Rattus norvegicus: one gene and its partner. The main gene of each other region encodes a partner of the protein of the gene in region 2 in a complex. Links are inferred from orthologs where the notes say so. Each region holds a gene or a part of one and is shown on either strand. Other genes may lie near its edges.

Region 1 (3,817 bases), on a different chromosome or scaffold from region 2:
AAGCTAACAGTCCTTCTCCTCCTTTCCCCTTCTCTAGTTCTAGACAGTGGGCGTGGAGCTCCTGAGGGAAGACTCCGTTCTCTCAGGATTCCATCTGATTCCGGCTCTTACAGCAGGCAGGCAGTGAGGGGGCCATCTCCCCAGGCACTGCCTGTTCCGCCCCATGCTCAGGGCTTCTTCTCTCCACCTGTGAGCACCAGAGCCTGTAAGATGTCAGACAGCGATACAATGCCCTTGACCACGTCATGTTCATCCACCACCACCAGACGGTGAACCTGGCACAGAGGAACAAGAAGTAATGTGAGTGCTAGCTGCAGTTAGGGTAGCTGCCTCACCCCTACCCTCTTGGGGCCACTCCCCACTGGCTGCCTGAGGCTGGCCGCTTCCTACCTCTGCTTCCACCAGTCTATTGATGATTGCTTCTAGAGTCTCATGTAGGTAGCACTTGAGAACACCCTCGAAGTAGTGTGACCGGTGCTGTAGGGCTTTTGTCACAGACACATCTAGGTTGTTGTATGTCTTTTCTGCTGCCAAATTCTGGAAGTGGGGAGCAGGCTTTGAAGGGGAGTCAGTTCCCAAACCCTGGACCAACCCGACCTCACTAGAGGGAGTGAGGGCGCTCTTGACCATTGCTCACAAGCAGTTCTGCCAGCTGGTTCAGGCGGAGGAGACCCCTCTGCTCCCTCTCCACCCCCAGCACCCCCTCCCCTCCCCTATCTCCCAGCCCCACCACTCACAATCACATCAAACTTGGAGTAGATGTCCACCACACGCCCTAGGGAGACAGAGGCAAGTCAGTGAAACAGAGGAGTGTGGTGGCCAAAGCCCCACTCCCTGTGGACCACCTTCCGGGCTGGGTTGGGGAGACCTGCCTGAGCCTGGCAGCCTCCCTCTTCTTGCCCCATCACTCACCTTTCTCATCCACCACAGGCAAGGCGGAGACTCGGTGCTGTACAAAGATGCCCAGAGCCACATAGACAGGTGTAGTGGTACGGACCATGGCAATATTGGCGTAGGTGCCAATCTGTAGCTCTTCCAGAGACTTAGACATGAATTCCGGCTTGGGGAACTCAGTGATCTGAGGAAAGCCATCAGTTTTCAGGAGCTTTCCTGGTAGACCATGAGGTGCTAGGTTCAATCCTCAGCACCAAACCACTGACCTGTCAGCTCGACCTTTAGGGCCCCCAAACTGCTGTGCATATGTCTCCAATCCATCATATAAGACGGATGAGCGGCTGAGGTATACTTACAAACAACTTGAGGAACTTGAGGATCCGCTTGTGAGTAAGAATGTACAAGGTGTTGCCTGACTCCGGGTCAATAACTGGAAGCCTGTGGATCTTATTTCGAATTAATGAAGAGACAGCATCGAACAAGCTGTGAGAAGACAGATCATAGTCAGGTTCCACAGGGCTAAAGCCCAGCTGCACAGCCCCTTAGAGTGTGGTTATAGCTCAGTGCTCAGACTTGACGAGCTGTGTGTAACGGCTGGGCGTGGTGAATACTTGTAAGTCTGTACTAGGACAAACAGAAGAGTTACAGGTTCAGGACAGCCTGAACTCTACAGAAAGGTCAAGGCCAGCTGTGGCTCTGGGAAGACTTCTTCACAAGCAAGCAAACAACCAAAGGCAGCGTGCACGAGGCGGGGTCTTCAGGTGTTTAGGGATAAACACAAAACCAGAACTCACCTGGCATTTGGAGAAATGCAGACAAGTGGCTTAAAGGAGTCTTGCAGGTAGACCTCTGAAGAGAACAGGGACAGTTCACAAACACTGCCACGTAAGTGCTTCCCGGGACACCCTCCATCCCTCATCTGCTACAACTTGTCCATACCTCTCCAAGTCTCTATCTTGTGCTCCTCCAGTTCATAGATCTGCACCTAGAAGCAGGAGCAGCAGACTTGAGACTCACTTCCCCTCTTAACCCAAGGAGCTTGGCTTGGAGGGGAGAAAACAAGGCACAGTGGAGCCAAAGGCAGGGCTGTGGTTTTGGTTCGGAGGTTCAGGTTCCTTACCAGGGCTGACTTGTAGTATCGGTGCAGAATATTGATGAAGTCAGTGATGGTCAGCATGCCTAGAAGCCAAGACAAGAGCCCTCAGCACAGTCCAGAGCTTTTCTCCCTGACTGGCAATAACTGTATTCCAGGAACTTCTGCTTACCCACAAAGCTCTGCTTCTTACTATCCCACAAAGGGGCAGCACGAACACCGTTAGTCACCAGGGCAAAGAAGGCTTTCTTTACCTATGGCCAAGAGAGCAACATCCTAAGGAAAATCCTCACAAGGCACAGCTGCAAGAAGAATGGGTTGGTGTGTGGGGGAGTATGGCGGATGATGACGGGCTTTGGACTAGCGCGTTTGAGGAACGTAGAAAGGAAGGGCTCTACCCACCTGCAGCGAAGTATCAAATACCACCAGCTTGGAGCTTGTGGGGATCAGGTCATAGCAGCGATGAGACTTCATGAAGGTGGTGTACACACTACTGTTCGATTCCGGGGTCTCTATGGGTGGAAGAGTCGTGCATCACTTTTACGTAGGTGGAGAACTCACGGTCCAGGCAAGGCCGTTGCTAATAATACTAAGCGCTCAGTCAACCTGGCCAGAGCATGGAGGACCACCCAAGATTCAGAAATCCAAATGGCGGGGCCTGGCCAGGTTTCCCTCCATTCTTCTGGATTATGACTTTTGGGGTTTTTGTCTTTTTTTTTTTTTTTTTTTTTGGGAGCTGGGGACCGAACCCAGGGCCTTGCGCTTGCTAGGCAAGCGCTCTACCACTGAGCTAAATCCCCAACCCCAGTTTTTGTCTTTTAAATAATTGTAAGGGGTTTTTAAAAGAAAAACTTGATTTTCTTGGGGTGGGGGGGATTTGCTTTTTCTTTTCTTTTTTTTTGGTTCTTTTTTTTTTTCCGGTGCTGGGGACCGAACCCAGGGCCTTGCGCTTCCTAGGCAAGCGCTCTACCACTGAGCTAAATCCCCAACCCGATTTGCTTTTTCTGAATGGGTGTTTTACTTTGTTGCCTGTGCACACATGTGTGCCTGCTGCCTGCTGAGGCCTGGGAATTACCGACAGCTGGGAGCTGCCATGTGGGTGCTGAGTTGACCACTCGTCCTCTGGAAGAGAAGTCAGTGTTCTTACGCTGAGCCAACTCTCTGACTCCTTCATTTACTCGAGATAGAACCTTGCTATACGCCCCGCCTGGCCTCAAGTTTGTAGTAATCCTACTGCCTTCGTTTTCCAAGTGTTGGGATTGCAGGGATGTATGCAGCTATGCCTGACAGTCTGTGTTTTCATCTGCCTGCTCTAATGGGGAGGGCAACCTCCACAGTGACGATCTAGATGTCTGACGTACTTTACACTTCAAAATAATGCATCATTTCATCCCCCACAGGCCCCTTTCCCATTTTTCAAGACAGGGTCTCTCTATGCAGCCCTGGTTGTCCTGGAACTCTCTCGAATTGAGAAACCCACCTGCCTCTGCCTCCCCAGTACTGAGATTAAAGGTGTCTGCCACGCTGCATTCACTCCGAAACTCTGAATTCTTACTGGTCTATTAAGTAAGTATTGTCTTCATGTTTGAAATGAGAATACATGCAGACAGTTAGAAGAACTGTTCAAGGTCGTCATATCATTGAGTTAGTGGCGAGAACCACTTGGAGTCCTGACTAATTCTGTACCTCACTCCCAGTACCCCAGCTGACTAAAAACAACATCTAGCTGGCAGGGGTGGTCTTCGGTCCCAGCACTCAGGAGGCAGAAACAGGTGGAACTCTGAGTTTGAGGCCAGCCTGTTCTACAGAGCCAGTTCCAGGACAGCCAGG
Region 2 (3,817 bases):
AACAAAAACAAAAAACAAAGACTATAAACCAAATTAGGTAACCAGGCCAAACACATCACCTCCATGGTTTTACGTGTACATACCATCAATACTTCGGAAATCCAATAAGTAAGTCCTACTATCCACTTGGTATAGCTGTAGACTCATTTTGGAAAATGTGCTTGTCACAGGGTTCTTCCTTCGCACACGCAAATAATAGGGGTTTACAACCTAGCATTTGATGTGGATGGAAACAAAGGCATATCAAATCAGTTCTTCTACAAAGGCCTTTTGTCTACAATGCTCGCTAAATGTGTTAGAGCACCTGCCTTACCTTCCATTCATAGTCCAACTGCTTGATTGCTCTACACACTTCTGCCATGATGTCATTGGGTCGGCTTTGACTTCGAATCCCCAAATGCCACTTTGCCTTCCGTACGCCTTGGTGTTTGGATTTCTGTGGGTTTAATTCATCTAGGGTGTGTCGGGCCCTTGGTGTTTCGGCAACCAAGAATGGTACTCTCTCAGGGTGAGGCCGAGTTAAATGGTGATCATCGAGGAAAGAATCGGGTGGGCTTGTTGCCAAGTAGAAATCTTTGGCTTCGTTCATTATTCTCCTGTTGTCTATTATGAGGTGGTAGGCAACTGCCAGTGGGTCCTGGTGGTTTCTGTTGTACAGGCAGCTGAGGACCTCCTCCTCTGAGCACTCGAACTTCTCACACACTTCTTTTAAGGCTTCATCATCAATCATGGTTGAACTATAAGACGGGTCTTCAGGAAAGAGATATTTTGGAAGGTCCTGCTTAAACCATTCATGTTCCCTAAGAGAGACAGCAATGTTGGAAGAAGAATTTTCAGTAAAACCAAGAAAATAAAAGTAGTAGTTTCAAGAGTTTAGGATATGAATTAATACTCACGCTACGTTACTACAGCTTTTCTCTTTAAACTGTTTTCCCTTCTAGCTCATACTTCATTGAATATGCTGAGAAAAACATTAAAATCTGCCACTAATTTTTTATTTATGTACTTTTATGTGTATGGGTACTTTGTACAATTTGCACACCAGAAGAAGGCATTGGATCCCATGGGACTACAATTACAGATGGGTGTGAGCCACCATGTGGGTGCTAGGAATTGAACTCAGGACCTCTGGAAGAGCAGCCAGTGGTGTTAATCGCTGAGCCATCCCTCCAGCCCCTGCCACTAATGTTTAAGGATCGAGGCAGTCAAATGAAAAGGCATGTATGGGGGTTGGGGATTTAGCTCAGTGGTAGAGCACTTGCCTAGCAAGCGCAAAGCCCTGGGTTCGATCCCCAGCTCCAAAAAAAAGAAAAAAGAAAAAAAGAAAAGGCATGTATGTCTACCCAAATGACAATGACAGAGTACAGTCTTTTTCCAGCCCACAAAGAAACTGTGTTGTGTGGCATCACTGTTTACACTGTTTCATGTTACCAACAAAAAGTGTGCAATATCCTATGGGTTCTTATGCAAGCTTAGCTTTACAACAAACCATTCACCCATGGAAAATCTATCCTCATCCTTACAACCCAGCTGCATATGACTCAAAAGACCATCCTCTGGACGATTTGTATTATATAATTGTATATATAAAAGGATATGGAACCATAACAAGAACTATACTAAAACTTAAACTTTTAACAAAAAATAAAAACAGGGCTGGAGAGATGGCTCAAGAGGTTAAGAGCACTCACTGCTCTTCCAGAGGTCCTGAGTTCAATTCCCAGCAACCACATGGTGGCTCACAACCATCTGTAATGGGATCTGATGCCCTCTTCCGGGGTGTCTAAAAACAGCTACAGTGCACCCATATACAATAAATAAATAAACAAACATTAAAAACAAAAACAAAGGAAACAGAAAAGAATAATAATTTGTTTCCAACTGGTGACTGGTTTTTTGAGACAGAATCCTCACTGTAGCCCAGGCTGGAATCAGACTCATTGTCATTCTCTTTCAGCTTCTCAAGTACTGGGATCATGGGTGTGCACCACCATGTACAGCATTTTATTGATTTAATAGCCTGAGTTCCCCTTCCCATCTGCCATGTGCTGCCACTTGGGGTCTCCTTTTCAGCAGGTCTTTCTGTGTTTGTTTTTTGAAACAAAGTCTCTCTTTACATTGTAATTGCTGTCTATATGCAGGTGAGTGCAGGCGACATTACATAGCTCTGACTGCCCTGAACTATGTAAACCATGTTGGCTTTGAACTCGCAGGCATCTCCCTGGCTCCACCTCCCAAGTGCTGGGGTTAAAGGTGTGCACCACCATACCCAGCTTCAACAGGACTTCTAGCATAAGAAGTAAGTGGGAAAGAACCAACTGAAAGTTCCATGTGCCTTAAGGCTTCCTACTTGCTACTCGTATATGCATGGTCTGTCTTTAGTTCTTTCCACTTCCGATATCAGGAAAATGTACAGTCTAGCTGTGATGGTTTGTATAAGTTTAGCCCAGAGAGTGGCACTATCAGAAGGTGTGGCCTTGTTGGAGGAAGTGTGTCACTGTGAGGTGGGCTTGGAGACCCTCCTCCTAGCTGCCTGGAGATGCTCAGTCTGTTTCTGGCTTCCTTCCGGTGAAGATGTAGAGCTCAGCTCCTCCTGCACCATGCCTGCCTGGATGCTGCCATGCTCCTGCCTTGATGATAATGGACTGAACCTCTAAACCTATAGGCCAGCCCCAATTAAATGTTGTCCTTTATAAAACTTACACTGGTCATGGTGTCTGTTCACAGCAATAAGACCCTAACTAAGGCACTAGCCATCAGAAGATCAAAGAATTAAGGAAAATAAAAACATCAAAAGATGAAAGAATTAAGAAGAAAAACAAAGGTATATTGGTGACAAAATAAGGTGTCCAGGGAGGACGGAGTGTTCCTGAGATGTGACTTACCACAACCTGAGCAGCACAGCGGCCACCATCAGCCCTGCCTTATTTAAGCTATTAGGTTAAACCATCATACACAATGCAGCATGAGCTGTAAAACGCAATCTCCTATGACTCAATGTGTATTGCTACAAGAAAAACATCTCATTAATAAAATGAAATTTTTCTTGTGTCTTGAGATTTGAAAAGGTAGAAAAATACATTGGTTTAAAATTATCTGATATTGCTGGGCAGTGGTGACAGCACATGCCTTTAATCCCAGCACTCAAAAGGCAAAGGCAGACAGAGCCAGCCTTGTCTGTAGAGTGAGCTCCAGGACAGCCAGGGCTACATAGTCTCAACAGAACTATGGATGGAAGGATGGATGGGTGGGTGGGTGGATGGGTGGGTGAGTGGGTGGGTGGGTGGATGGATGGGTGGGTGGGTGGGTGGATGGATGGGTGGATGGATGGGTAGATGGATGGATGAGTGGGTGGATGGGTGGATAGATGGGTGGATGGATGGGTGGGTGGATGGGTGGATGGATGAGTGGGTGGATGGGTGGATAGATGGGTGGATGGATGGGTGGGTGGATGGGTGGATGGATGGGTGGGTGGATGGATGGGTAGATGAGTGGGTGGATGAGTGGGTGGATGGATGGATGGATGGGTGGGTGGGTGGATGGATGGGTGGGTGGATGAGTGGGTGGATGGATGGATAGATGGATGGATGGATGGGTGGGTGGATGGATGGATGGGTGGGTGGATGGATGGATGGGTGGGTGGATGAGTGGGTGGATGGATGGATGGATGGGTGGGTGGATGAGTGGGTGGATGGATGGATGGATGGATGGATGGATGGGTGGATGGGTGGGTGGGTGGATGGATGGATGGATGGATGGATGGATGGATGGATGGGTGGGTGGATGGATGGATGGGTGGGTGGATGGGTGGATGGGT

Evidence for each region.
Region 1: the proteins of Prkaa1 (region 2) and Prkag1 are in contact, whole or in part, in a crystal structure (PDB 6C9H), measured with the Homo sapiens proteins. The link is inferred for Rattus norvegicus from reciprocal best matches to the Homo sapiens genes PRKAA1 and PRKAG1. Residues at the interface, in NP_006242.5 of Homo sapiens: Ser295, Ser296, Thr297, Met298, Ile299, Asp301, Glu302, Lys305, Arg342, Glu347, Ala348, Phe351, Tyr352, Leu353, Arg369, His371, Pro372, Glu373, Pro376, Phe377, Asn449, Val451, Thr452, Thr536, Pro537, Arg538, Gly540, Ser541, His542, Thr543; in NP_002724.1 of Homo sapiens: His36, Asp40, Leu41, Ile42, Pro43, Thr44, Ser45, Val50, Leu64, Val65, Gly68, Val69, Arg70, Trp75, Ser77, Lys78, Lys79, Gln80, Phe82, Pro158, Glu159, Ser160, Gly161, Asn162, Lys170, Arg171, Lys174, Phe175, Leu178, Phe179.

The regions. Positions count from the first base shown.
Region 1 is NC_086025.1:131,842,471-131,846,287, forward strand, and holds part of Prkag1 (5'-AMP-activated protein kinase subunit gamma-1), read right to left. Parts: intron 2,500-3,817; coding exon 2,390-2,499; intron 2,242-2,389; coding exon 2,160-2,241; intron 2,074-2,159; coding exon 2,015-2,073; intron 1,880-2,014; coding exon 1,834-1,879; intron 1,744-1,833; coding exon 1,689-1,743; intron 1,378-1,688; coding exon 1,251-1,377; intron 1,079-1,250; coding exon 913-1,078; intron 776-912; coding exon 738-775; intron 538-737; coding exon 391-537; intron 276-390; coding exon 168-275; 3' UTR 1-167. UniProt on the Homo sapiens protein: AMP/ATP-binding subunit of AMP-activated protein kinase (AMPK), an energy sensor protein kinase that plays a key role in regulating cellular energy metabolism.
Region 2 is NC_086020.1:55,995,170-55,998,986, reverse strand, and holds part of Prkaa1 (5'-AMP-activated protein kinase catalytic subunit alpha-1), read right to left. Parts: intron 801-3,817; coding exon 314-800; intron 211-313; coding exon 84-210; intron 1-83. UniProt on the Homo sapiens protein: Catalytic subunit of AMP-activated protein kinase (AMPK), an energy sensor protein kinase that plays a key role in regulating cellular energy metabolism.